Drosophila melanogaster: one gene and its partner. The protein of the gene in region 1 interacts with the protein of each later gene in a pairwise test. Each region holds a gene or a part of one and is shown in the gene's direction. Other genes may lie near its edges.

What was found.
Region 2: the proteins of CG11883 (region 1) and CG12470 interact in a two-hybrid assay, tested with the Drosophila melanogaster proteins (2 studies listed by BioGRID).

The regions. Positions count from the first base shown.
Region 1 is NT_033778.4:10,614,790-10,622,688, forward strand, and holds the start of CG11883 (uncharacterized protein), read left to right. Parts: upstream 1-2,872; 5' UTR 2,873-3,047; intron 3,048-5,101; 5' UTR 5,102-5,210; intron 5,211-7,413; exon of another isoform or gene 7,414-7,488; intron 7,489-7,899. Other genes in the region: psq (pipsqueak), read left to right, coding at 1-52.
Region 2 is NC_004354.4:304,214-310,915, forward strand, and holds CG12470 (uncharacterized protein), read left to right. Parts: upstream 1-3,470; 5' UTR 3,471-3,679; intron 3,680-3,876; 5' UTR 3,877-3,994; coding exon 3,995-4,582; 3' UTR 4,583-4,722; downstream 4,723-6,702.

The DNA.
Region 1 (7,899 bases):
GCAGCAGCTTCAGCAGATCTATCAGCACCACGGGACGCCGGAGCGTAGTTGAGAATCACTGCATGCTGCGACATTAATGGGCAGCACCGGCGGTGGAGGAGGTGGTGGGGTTGGTGGAGTAGCAGCCAGCACTAGCGACGGCACGGCGGCCAGTAGCACGCCCTTTGCCAGCATTTCGGCGCTGGTCAGCGGACCGTCCAGTGCCCCACCACCGCCGGTAACTGCCAGTGGCTCGTCGGCAGTCAGTGGCGGCACCAGCAAGCGCAAGAAAGCCAATAAGCAAAAGCGTTGAGAGCAGGAGGATGATCAGCCACACAGGGAGTTGGAAACAATTGCGGGAGTGGCCAGGCCCGAGGACATCAAGTTTAGATTTAATTGCAAGCACTGGAAGCGCAAGTTGCGGCAGTTTCATTTGCTATTGTCCAAACAGTAGTCAGTCAGTCAGTTAGGAAGGTACACACATATATGAATGACCCACAGACAAAAAATTCCCAAGGGTAGGATAAAGCAATCACAAAACCACTTTTCAACTAGATGGACATTAATTACACAACCGAGATGTGTATAAAATGTAAATATATAACGAAATATGCTTTATTTACATTATACGGAACATAGTTATATAGGTTTTAGGTTCGCGAAAGTCCTTTGTTCTAGTTAGGTAAGGTAAGGTGGAGAAAGAAGAAAGTTAAGAAAACATACCTTGAACGTAAGAGAATGATGAATTTTAGATTTGCCTCTAGACTCGAAAGTTAATGGATTCGTTTTGGGCTCGCAGTTTTAAGAGCACTTTGTTATCAATGGATATAGACACGCGTATTTATTTTGGTCTCGCGACCATTCTGAGAACCTTGAATCGGCAGTTGATTGTGGAATTTCGAACTAGATTGTTTTCCCTTCAATGTGCTTATGTGCTTTGTTATAATTTTCGCTTAGTGTGAGACTGAAAGTGCGCCTAAAACTGTTGAAAAACCCCATGCCCAATATTATAGTGAAGACGCATAAAACACAACCCATACATGAATCAAATGCTTTATAACCATATTGTTTGAACAGATAGAACGAAGTGGGAGAATACCTTAACGTAGAATTAAACCAAATTATCAAGGTTCTAGAACTTAAATCATTAGCTTGTAACGATAAAAGAAAGCAAAACGAGTTATTTGAATTTTACTGGAGGCGTCCTGAATTTTGGATTGTATATTGATTTGATTTCAACTGAATTAAGAATATAGCCAATAAATAAATGTAGAAATGAAGTAATTGCAAGGAATCAACAAATGGAATGTATTTTTGAAAGAACCGGAAACAGAAGCAGCTGAAATTAGCGAATCAAACTGCAAATGTTGTTAATACTAAGCTCTTAAATAATGTCCTTTGAAGTCACATTCAAACAAAGATTTAAAACAAGCTTGTAAGAAAAAGAAACCAATAAATACACACGTATATATATGGATACAAAACACCTCTAATTGAACTGTAAAATGTCTTAGTGTAGCAGAGAATGAAAGTAGTTATAGTATACATTTCTTTAAAAAGCATTATTCGAGCGAGTTTTGGATACTACCCTTCGAATCCGGGGTAGACTTGATTGGTCTATATAAAAATCCGACAACAAATTTACCACAATGGGAAATATATTCAAAATTTTGAATTAGAAATTTAAAAACGATAAAAAATGTATAATAGCTTCCACTAGCGTATCTACATATTTAGGAATCGGAGGAATGGATACACCTAGTAAACACCCATCTGAAGAAACTTCAAAACTTTTTGGTTTCATCTCAACTATGCGTGTGCGGCGAGCACTTGGATATCTTTGTATATACATTTGAATAGATTTTTTTAGTTGTTAGCTGACCTAGGGGAACAGGTATCTGAATATTATAAAAATCAAATGTTGCAAATTAATTTATTTTAGCGTTATAGACCCGTAGAACTGAATGCAATATGCTTACCTTAAAACTCAACATAATTTAATTCAATTCCTATTATCTTTAGTTGGATTCATTTTAATGTTTTATAGCAAAACTGTATATCATTGTAAAATAATTAAAGCATACGGAGTAGCAACTACAAGAGTTAGAACAACAATAAATGAAAATATCATTATAACTTTGTTAAAATTGTCGCAAGAGCAATTAAAAAATGAACCCAGCAACTTGAAGAATCGAAAATGAAGGCGAATCACAGAAACGTAAAAATAATAAAAATATTACATTTAAAATTTTAAGCTAACTAAATGTGTAAGAGTAAACTTTAACCACACAATATTATAGCACATTTCGGATTATCAAATATGCATATACAGCAAATATCTATTATAAACGGTAAATGTAAACCCAAAAAGGAAACACTGAAACAATCTATGTAACAGCCGAAATAGCGAAAACAACCCATGTAATAAACAAACAACATTTAATGTAATATTGGTATAACGTAATTTTTAAAGTGAGGTACTATAAATAAAAATTATTGAATAATTACATAAAATGGCATATTTCTCATTTTATTTGAATTGTAAGTGGGATTAATTGTACTAAATTTAACAAGTTCACTTAATTCTGGATTCACATTTTTATTATGGATAACAAAGTTTATTTAAGATGGTTATCACACATGTTTGTTATTATTTATTGTTGTAAAGCTAGCAGTAATGGAAACGTGAATTATGCTTTTTTGGCGCTACCGGTTCAAATTTAACCGCCTGTAAAGCTTTGCCTCTGTTAACCTGATCTTGGCTTAGGCAGCCACTGTCTTGGCCAACAATGTTAGGCGAGCTTTTCTGTTAGGCGGCTCTCCGCTCAGCTGGCGCATGCTCTCCCACATGTTGAACTTACTTTTGACCGTGCTCACCTAGAAGCGGAAGATGCCAGTCAAAGTTCTGCTTCCCATGTGAACGGTGGTATTTTGTATTCCGCGTTCCGATCGTCTGCACCGATTCCTTTCGCTACGCAGAAGATTTTTTACCAAGAAAAGAAAAAACTTCGCAGACTCAGCCCTTTTCGCTGGCTTCAGAAACAAACTTGGTTTTGGAAAAGTAATTTGTAAGTCTTGGCTATAAACAAACAAACAAAACGAATCGCAATAGTGTCGAATGGGAATTCCAGCTTATCAGTGGCAAATGAGCCTGAGCTAATTGATTAATCAGTATTAATCTGTTTATATTCGATTTAAATCAGCTCAATTGAAAGTGATGACTTTGTTAAGTGAAAGTGATATGATGTGTCTTCTAATTGAGTGTGAAATTTGCAAATTTACTTTCCCACTCGCGAAATTTGCTTGTACATTTGAGTATGGCGGAAGTGTCAATTCAAGAATTCGCATGATTGCGAATAATTTTCGAAAAAAACAGGACTGTGCGTTGAATTAGTAATGATAGGCGGAAAAAGTGGGGCTAAATCGGGGCAACGAAAGCACGGCCCAAAAGTTAACTGCATAAACAGTTTATTTTTGTATGCCAGAGGACAGCTGCAAGTTCAAGTGTACAAAACTCGTAACCCCCATGAAATTACATTACGCATGATACATACCAACACACAGCTATAGATGTGTGTATACACATATATGCATGGTACACGGGAGTATGACGTGGTGTGCGAAAGCCCGTCGCTCAACACGTTCTAAAATATTAACTTAAAAGACAACAGCAAAAAAATACGCAACAATAATAACAGCTACCAAACAACGTGCTTATTAAGAGAACCCACTGAGGGGTTATAAATATTGCGAGTGAGCGTTCTCGGAAGCAGCCCCCAAGAAAAGCTTCCTCTCAAGAGAGAAATGCTCTCTCCCTCTCTCTCTCTCACTCTCTGTATGCAAGACAGCTGATTGTCAGAATGTTGGCCTCAAATACCCTTAGACAACACCCCACCTCCCATTGCCCACCCAGCAGAAAACCACCTCAAACAGCCCACTTTTGTTTTTACAACAAGTGCCGCTGCTGGCGAAAAAGTGTTTGCTGATGTTTGCCATGTTTTTGGCCATTTGAACTTGACAGTAGGAATGTGGGTCTTGGCTATTCGCAAGAAGTGTGACCACATTTCGGGGTCTGCTCTAGAATACTTGACCTTGAAGTCCACGAAATTTATTTCGTTTTAAAAATAAACACCTGAAATGACATATCTCAAAACTTTCTCGTGTTTTCAACCAGTGGCAAATTGTATGCTCAAAACACATTGATGATCATGACTGATTTTGTTTTAACATCTTGTTCATGCTAACGTAAGAATATGTGAAAATTTTTGAAAATTTATAAATTGAACGCATCATTTAAATTAACATTTTATTAAATAGCAACTCAGTTGTCAGTATTTGTGATGGACGGCTCTTCAATTAAACGAAAAAGCCTTAAAAGTTACATGTTTGATGGTGTTTTGATTGATTGCCCCTAGCAATTAGAAAGTTGAAGCAATCACTATAAAATTTTTTAACAGGCATGACAAATAATTAAAGACCTTACGCCAAATAAAAACACAACCCACAACAGGTGCGATCGAATCTTTGGCTTTGAAACTTCGATTGGCGGCTTGAAGTGAGATGAGTAAAAAAAAAGAGTATGTGTGTAATAAAATTAAAAGCCAGTCAAGTCAAGTGGCGGTGCCTGTGTGGCTGTCATAATATACTTTGTGGCAGATGGGAGTCTTGTTTGCTGTTTTCGAGAGGAACCCAACCAGAGGGTGGGTAGTAAAAATAGACCTTCAATGTTACTAGTTACAATGCTTTAGCGTAAAGCTGACACACGCATGTTGGGGAGAGGTCCAGATGGACTAAATACGGCTAAACAAAACTAAAATGAGCTTTTATTAGTTAGAAAAAAGGAGTTAAATGTTGATCTCAGATGATATAAATCCGTCTTTAGCTTGTAAAACCTATTTGTCTTATAAAAGGCGAACCAATGCATATGCAATCCAAGAGAAATGGTTTTTAATAACGTATATAAAATGCATTCGAATACATGCTTTGCCATTCACCTGTATGGGGTTCCCTGTAAAGTATACCACAATTTATCTAAGTTAGTATTGACTTAAAGTTCGCGTAAGACAAGTTGGCCTGTGTATCCTTTATCCTGAATTATTCAGCAAGTTTCTTTACCTTGCAGTTTGCTGGCATCCCACACAACGAACGACCCGAAAATCAGTTGCTGGGCAACCCCTACTAAAATAAGGAAAATCGAAACGGGAGGAGGACCCACGGAAACTTACACGCAAGTGAGTAAATAACTGGCTGTAACTGACGGTCGTTAGGTGAAATTATCAATTATGCAATTAAAAGGGGTGGAAATTGTTGAAGCCGAGTATCTCAGCTGAGAGTTATTAAAACTTACGCCCGCCGCATTTATTGATCTAAATTAAATGCCAAGGTTGGAGTGGTATTAAAATAGTTGAACTGGTTGGTTTAAGAACCTATGGACATAACGTTGTTTAAATAGTTCTAAGGCTTTGTTGCACTAACTTTAACCTCATGTTTGAAAACCATACATATTGTACATATGTGCTCACTTCTGAAGCAATGTGGAAATGCCCTTAATAATTTATTCCTGAGTTGCTGTTTGAGTTTCCGTTTTTCTCATTACACATTTCATTTCCGTTCCCCTCGGCCCAAAATGAAAATGTTACAGGGCAATCGGACGTATACGTAATATGCTAATCAACTTTTGTTGCCAACAAGCTGGCGATAAACCAAGTACAAACCCCAACCTTTTCGAACAACTGTTGCGAAAGTAACTTTTTGCATGTGAGTGTGTCAGGATAACAGGGCTCCTCCTTCGGATGTAGAAAATCAGCCCAGTCTTAACCTTCCCTGTGGCCCTGCGCCATCGCCTTTGCCTTCGCCCAATTGACCCTTAACCCTTGCCTTGGGTTGTCTCTCACCTGATGGAACGTAGCTTGCTCAGGAGTCAAGGGCATCAGACACACACTCATGCAAATTGCATGCCTGATTTCACCAATTGATTGCATGCAATTGTTTTTTCCTTCGACTTCCACTTGTTTGCTCATCCCGAGCCAAATCCTTGCAAAGCGAAAACAGAACGAATGCGAATGTTAAGTAAGTGAAAGTGCTTAAACATTATTCAGTAGTGTTTCCAGCAGGTTGCTTCAAAAGAGCAGTCCTTGAAAATGTGATTCTCATTTTTGGAAACCCAGTTCATCTGTTGCACATACGTAAATCAGAGCTGTCATGTCCAAATGTCATTTTTGAAATGCATACCCTTTCAATGGGAAGTAATCAGGAGTCAAATAAATGAATATATAATAGTATTTTAGATCAAATAGTAATTGATTTTCTTGCATAAAGTAATTCCACTGTTAAAGTTTTCAAGGTTAAATCCAAATCTCACGAAGTTCCCTAAACTGAATATTTCATTTTGAGCAATAAACTGAATGAAAATAAACAATATTTTTGCGAGAGTGTCTGCAACTTTGCTATCGAAGCGAATTCCAAATATTTATGGCATTTGTTTGGTGTGCGCGAATTGTGAAATGAGATTTTGCGGTTGCCACTTTGTGTTTCATTGGATGTTTCTGCATGAACGCTTAATGGGCATATTAGTTTGCAGTTTGAAAAGTGGTTGCGGGTTAAACAGCACTTAGCTGAAATATGAAATTAATTATGTCTGGTTCGTTGGATTCGATTAAAGTTACAATAACATTGACACTAATATACGCAACTCAATTTGATGGGCATTAATTAGTGCTGCAGGCAAAACAAACTGTGTGCATGTTTAATTAAATAGTCAACTGTTTGGCCTGTGGCTACCAACAACTGCTCTTAAAGTGAGTTGAAGCTGTAAAACTCACTGGTCACGAAGTGGAGCTCTTGAAAATGCAACCCATCCGCCAGGCAATTTGCCATTTCTGAGCATTTCCTGACCGGTTGCAATTCATTTCCCATGTCCTGCCAGAATCCACAGCTTACCTTTTGCCGTCAGCTTAGTGTACGACCTGAAGAAGATGCCCAATCGCATGTGACCTTGTTTCGCTCGGCCAACGCTGCGTATGAGTATTGCATAGATCACTTTGTTGATTTGCTTGTTGCTTTCCCATTATCAATGTCAATGTGCTCTTAAGCAACTCAGTGCATCCGTGAGATACTTTCCGTCTCAATCTCTCTGTATCGGCGACTGCTTTTGAAATTTTGGCAGACAGAATAAGAGCAATTGATGGGGATTCCCGTTCTTAGGTCGTGAGCAATTTATCACATTGTTGCAAAATTAATTTCCTTCTGTGCTTTATATGCAATCACCTCTCTGTGCACTTTTATGCTCTCAGCCTTATCATTGTTTGTATATTTATATATATATTTTGCATCGAAGAAAATTATATTCATTTTGCTTAAGCAATCGCACTTGTGTTTTGCATTTCAAGTGGTGCGGTTCTCGTGTTGTTTTTATATTTAGCGCGATATTACGAAAGTTACCTTATTGTTTTACAAATCGAATAAAATAAAAATGCACCTAAGCCGCTTGCGTGGTTTGCGAGGCGTTTTGTGAGTTATACAAAAGATATATTTTCATGATCTGACACCTCAGTTTATTGTTTGCATTTTTCTCCCTTGTTTCGGAGACTCGAGTGAAGCAAATTGGCAGCTGAAAAAAAAATGCTATTCAATTTACATTGTAGTATATACGAACATAATAACAATAATAATAACAATAATAATAATAATATTAATAATAATTATAATATGAATCATAATAATAAGTCGACTAATAAGTAAACTTAGGACCACCCTAATTCCTTAGGGTCACCCTAGTAGATCTTTAGATACACCCTAATACTAAATATGCGAATTCAGCATGTACGCCTTTAGGGGTCGCACTCGACTCCCATTGGTTATCGAGTATGAACTTCATACATACATATTGCAGAATTTGCTAGTGTCAGCACTTGGCTGTCA
Region 2 (6,702 bases), on another chromosome or scaffold:
ATATCAGCCTTGCGCCTTGTTGGTTTTCAATCAGATTTTGTTTTTTAATGTTTTGCTGGCAACAAAAGCTAATGATTAATAACAAGCTGGCAGCAATAATCCTCGATTCCCCTGGAAATATGTTGCAATTATCGTGCATCGCAAGCAATAAAGTTCATTGTAACACCTAACCCTATTCTTAAGTTAACCTCTAAAAATCTATATAATATATTGAACGCTGTTCATATATCCCTCTTAATAAAAACTTCTTTACTAAGATATATACACAACGCATATTGTTATATCTTTTGATATTGGGTAACTGTGTTTTTTCTGTTTTGTAGCACTTACCCAGCCCAGTAAAATAGTTCATGGAAAAGTTAAAGCAAATCTATTTCTTTTTAATTGGGATAGTCGAGGTTCTTAAAAATAGAGTTCCCCCTATGCTTCAATTTTTAGTTTAAAAGTTTAAATTACTACAGTTAACTTTTGCTTTTATGATATAAAAAATGAACACATAAAATTTCATAGCCATGGGGCGTTGTAAAAAAAGTTTGTAAAGGTAATGCTGGGAATTGAAAAGCAATAGTCAACAAAGAGTACATAGGTACAAAACCATCGGTCCATACCATATAAAAATTCAAAAGCTCTGCATGCTGTGCAATACGAAATAAAATATGTAGATCGCGGACTCATGGGCGTGACAAGTACAACTTGACAGAGGCTGAAGCAGTCAAAGAGCCGGTGACATGTCGTCACTGTCATCACAACTTTAACAGGAAGCCACGCCCACTCAACAGGTGCCCAGCTGAATTTACTAAAAGCGTCAAAAACAAGAGCATAGACAGTAACATCTCAAGTCAATTCTCCTGTCAACAGTCTCAGACAATTTACTCTAAAAAGAACATGAGCGCTATAGTCCATTTTCTCGGTTTATAGTTTTCGAGTTCTTTTCATACGGACGGAGGGACATTCGAACATGACTAGATCAATACTGAGCTAGAATATAGATGTAATGGGTCAGAAACGCTTTTTTGTTTATTATTTTGTCTGATTTTATAAGTTTTCACGTGAAAGAAATTATAGGAAGATAATCACTTGGGAAACATTTATTATTAGTTTTAATGTTTTCTTCTTTCCAGTGAGAGCAGTTTTTTTCGGATCATGTCTTTAGCGGGTGTATAAGAAAAGGCCTGGCACACATGTTATAAATATGCAAATAATTATTTAGGAGCGTGGAATGCTGGCGACAGCGATTATATGAACGAGCAGATTAAGTCCCTTTAGGCACTTTGCCGTCGTCGTCCCGTGGTCTAGCCCAATCTATTCGCCATTGGTCATCTGGCCAGCGGGTAGGAGGGAGATTCACAGAATTGGGGGAGTGTAGGCTTCCCAGGTAAAAGTGGTTACAGTATGTTTTGTCAGAGATTTTTCCCGTTGATATTCCCGCTTTTTATTTACACGTAGAGTAAAATTGTATTCTAGATTCGTTGTAGCATTTTAGACCCTATGACGTTTATATATACATACATACATATACATACCTTCCTCAGGATCACTAGCCCAGATCTGAGCATGTCCCTTTGTCCGTATGAAAGCAGTTTTTTAATTTAATTTAGTTTTTTGTATTGTCAATTTCTATCCAATTCAATTTCTAGCCAAACAAATTTTGCACCGCCCTAATTTGCCCATACTTATAAAACATAATTCTGAATTTTATTTATTGATTTATGTTATCATAATGGGTATTGGATAGTCGAGTTTCTTGTATATAACGTTCTCCCTTCCTTCTATTTGTTTTTTTTACTTGGCTTTTGACCCAATGCCTTGGACCTTGTTCTTATTTTTTGTTTGCCCTAGACTCGTTGGCGTCGACTTTTAGGTTGTTGCACTTTGGTACCACAGTTATCAAAATTTCGATTGCTCTATTTTATTGCTGTATTTTATTTTGACCGATACAACTGCAGGATAGCCCATGTGTAAACAATCAGCAAACCATTTGTTATATTCCTGCAGTGAATGAAGATTAATTTCAGTCATAAAAAAAGAAAGGGAAGGCTACCGGAGAGGTGCTAAATAACTCCGCTCTCTGAGATAAATTATGCGCAATTTCTCCTCTGCAAACTTATTCAGCACCTTAAAGCTTAAGTACTCCAAACTAAGCTTTCGCGGCTTAAAGCTAAAAATCTTTATTTTATGATAAAAAGCTCAATTTTATGAGCATGTACTTTTTTACGTTTTTAACATGCCGTTTTTTTTTTTAAGAAGGACTTGGACATCTGTATAAGGCAACATATCCATGTGAATTTACAAGGAGAAAACGATTCAGTCGATCTTGTCGGCTTACAGATACGTGTTACTACTCCGCTAGAGGAAGTGCGTTGGAGTTGGATATATGTAGATAACATATCGATAGATTTACAAAATTAAATTTTCAAATGTGTCGGCGTGGCAGTTTTGGGGGGTTTGGGGGCCTTAGAGTGGGCGTGGTAATATTTCAACAAACTTGCGCTGGTTCTGTCTCTAGAATATGTATGCTTAATATAAACCTTCCAGCTTTTATAATTCCTGAGATGTCGACGTTATACGGCCGGACAGACGGACAGTGCCAGATCGACTGGGCTATTGATACTGATCAAGAATATATAAACTTTATATGGTCGGAAACGCTTCTTTCTACTTGTTACATACATTTTCAACGAATCTAGTATACTCTTTTAGTCTGCAAGTAACGGGTATAAGAAGTATAATTTGAACTGTATAAAGGTTAAACTGTATGTAGGTTAAAGTACTTATGCGGTAAATGAATCTTATTTCTAGTACTTATCTAATCATCCCACATTAAAGCAACTGATTAAATAATACCATTGAAGATTGCACACATTTGTATATAGAGAGTGGGAGAGAGCGATATCTTCCTCCATATGGGTATCCTAAACCTGCCGACTCACGTTTGCCGGCATGACAGGTTGGGTTACCCCATTAGCTGAGAATTTCTTTTTGATGAAGCAATAATCGAAGGAGTGTTTTCTTTTGGATTCGTATTCGTTTGATACCGCTGTGAGCCATAAAATGTAACCCATTAGGTTAGTATGGTTGCGATTATAATGGTGGTGTCATCATCATTTAGCCAAAAACCTGAGATTTATTCCACTGGTCCATTCATAAAAGGCCATCATTTGAAGCTTAGATAATGTTTAATTAATAAATACGCGTTTTTCGTATTTCAATGGTACTTTTATCGTATCAGATATTTTTTTTAATATTTCCATATTTTTCTTCTTCCAGCAGATAAAGGAAAGTAGTAGATTTAGTTGTCCCTTAAGTTGTGATACAACGATAATTGAATAAAATAAGAACTGGCAATTATATATGCATTAAGCTGTTTACGAGCACCAAACGTAGCCTACTCTGGGTTGGTTTATTAAATAGAATGGCTTTCTTACTTTTTTTTAGATCACGTTGCTTTGCTGAAACTGTCAGTATTTGGACTTGGCTATCACCAGCCATATGGCAAAACATCAGAAGTAAAATTGTCTGTGAACACACAAAGCACACGAAAAAATCTCGGAAAAAAAACTGTACAAAATTTAACTTCGCTCTCGACCAGATTTACAAAATTTTTTTTTTGGCCAAACTTAAAATTAGGAATACAAGAGAACGGTGTGTGTACCAAAATCAAATCGTGTTTAGCTAGTTGGTGAGTCTTATTGGAAGCTCGGCATATTCCGAATATTACTGAAATTTTTTCCCCATTTCCGAATTGCATTTGGTTTCACATGACATACGCACACAATTGGAAGTCGTAATTCTATATGTGTGGGACAGTGTTTACTGAGTATTTGGTTGGGGTTAACTTAAGAATTAATATTTTTTTTTTTTAAATGCGTATTTCAGACGTCAGGATATATGCTACTTTGATTCGTTAACTATTTTCAAGTGATCGGAAGCAAACGCAGAGGCATTTCTAATTTGTGCGTTGCGCGACTTTCAGAGATCGTAGACTCGATTAACCATGGGTAAAAAGGGCAAAGGAAAGAAGGGCAAGAAGCCCGCCGCAGTTGTGGCTCCCATCGAAGCGCCACCATGTCCTCCGTGTCCGGAACCACCAAAGCAGATGCAACCACTTGACGCTTGTCCAGAGTCTAGCGGACCCCACGATGTCCTTCGGGCTCAACCGAATCATTACCCGGCTCTTCTTCGTATTCCGGAAACAATGGCGGTGGTGGGCTCTGAGAATGGATGCTACGATAGCATTTGCAAGCTCCTGAGAGCCGGATTCCGGTGTGCCGAGCGGGTTTTCGTGATGGCCCCTTGGGGCAACTACGTGGTTTTCCGGTATCACAACAATAATGACTTTATTTACTTCCTGTTTGATGGATGCACCTGCGATGTTAATAGGTTCCGCTATCTAGACCTCAGCTGCGGAACTGCTGGATTTCTTTTCTTCGATAATATGCACGACGTTATTAGTTATATTATCCAGTCTCGAAAGACGCGTCTATATCTGGAGAATCTAAACAAGATTGCCATTGATCAGATTGTGGAGGAGTATGGCGCTGTAACGTACACCCAAAAGGCAAAATGCATGCGATTCGCTTAAATAGGTCCCATATGATTTCTAACAAAAGAGGGCAACGCATACACAACGAGGATAATACTGGACGACAAGCTTTGCTCTAAACATTTAACATATTTTGGCACAATCTTTATCAATAAATAATAATCTCTTTGAAAGCAACTAAAACAAATTTGCATAGCTCTAATACCAATAGCGGTGATAGCGATATACCAAAGCGTTTATTTTGCATGTCGAAGTTAATCCTTTTGTAGAGTTTTGCTGGGAAAGTTGAGGTTAGCGTACGATCAAAAGAAGTTAAATAACAATAGTCGACATAAATTATTGCAATATTACTGTGGATAAAATACAAATCGTAAATATAATATCAAAAATTAGAGACTTACAGGGTGTGAGAATTTTGTCAATTAGAGTACAGATTCCAAGTCGATTAGCGTTCGATTAATTCCATTCATTTGAGTGGTATGGAAATTATGCATGTGCATCATTTTGCTAATATTCGGCTCAAAAGAATGAAGCGGAGGATTCCAGCTTAACGTGCACAACAAATCCCTCAAATTATTATTGCTTGCTACAAAATGAAAAAAGAAGAAACCCAATAGAAACAAGGTGAACCTTCCAAGTAAGGGGTCAATTTTTGGAGGCCCATGGATTGCGAAAACCGCAAAGCATTTGCAATAAAGTGCCAAACAAGCGCCGGCCACACGATATTTGAATATTTATAAAAGTAGTCGACTTGTTGATAGATTATGAGATGTTAAACTGAAAAATTTTATTTTTCAAACAGATTTTCAGTATTTGAAAATGTTTATATTATAACACAATTAAATTGTTTTTAACATCTTAATTAATTCTGAAATAATGTTTAAAGTTCTTACATTTTTATTAACATCTTAATTAATTATATATATATATAATATAATAGGTTATTAGACAGACCGTTACTTCTTATAATTTATATATTGTTATTTTTTAGTGGATGCGATTTGTGAGCAATATATATTTACTTGACATTTGTCCGGGCTACGAGAGAAGGCTCGGCTGGTTAGGCCACTGTTTCGCCGGTGTGTCAAGTGTCCGGTTTCCCTAACCATAACTCGTGTACCCCTCCTTAACTCCCGTGAGTACCTTTTAACTATCCAAACTCCTTGACTAGCCATGTCCCATTTAACATTTTACAACGAGTAGCGTATTTGTATGGCTGCGCGGCATTTTAAGACCCAATCGATCGGAGGATCGAGATTGAGGCACGCAAATAGAGTTAAATATATAATATTTTAACTCCAAAAGTTTATAGTGCACACTAAACCATTTATTAACCCCAAAAAAAAAAATGTATATTCTCGACGAACATCCATAAAGATTTGTGCTAGTACTTTTTTTTGTCCAGTGTAAATCGAGGGAAACATGGGTCGCAGATCGACAGACAAAGACGAAGGTATCTATTTTCCGAAAAATATATATACTTGCCCTTTCACGTTGTCGGCAAATGTCAGCCTACCATTTATATAAATGCACACCTCACCCTCAACTATTTGCAGACTCAAAAACTTTGTCATCTCCCCTTTTGAAGCTCAAGTAAATTCCCCAAATGTACTTGCACCGATGACCCCGCTCGAAACTTTTTACTTCTCGAATAATAATATTTACTAACACAAAAAATGGTTTCGTCTTTTAAATGATTAGTTTTTTTTATTTCATTTTAGGTTTTATGAATACATTCCTTTATACCAATACCATTATCTTTTTTCTTTATAAGTGGCCTGGACTTAGATCATCTCCAAAACTTTTTGCGCTTTGCTAAAAAACAGCAAATTCGCTTCTATTGTTTCGGTCTTGGGTTTTCGTTGATTGAATTTTTGGTTATTGCGGTTACCTTTTACCAGCTTTATACGCTGCATGCAACATTAGTCAATGACACTCGATGCTGGATGTTGATGTTGTTGTTGCTTAGTTGCCAGTTTGCAACATCATCTTGCGTCAGTCGCTGACATGATTATATATATTTGGCATGAACCTCCCCTTCCTTACTATGTGAATATTTGTGTAATGTTTAGATAAGTTTTTATTTATTTTGGATTTCTTTAAAACAAACCAAATAATCGTTCTAGATTTTAAATCAATTAATATTCATTATTCGATGT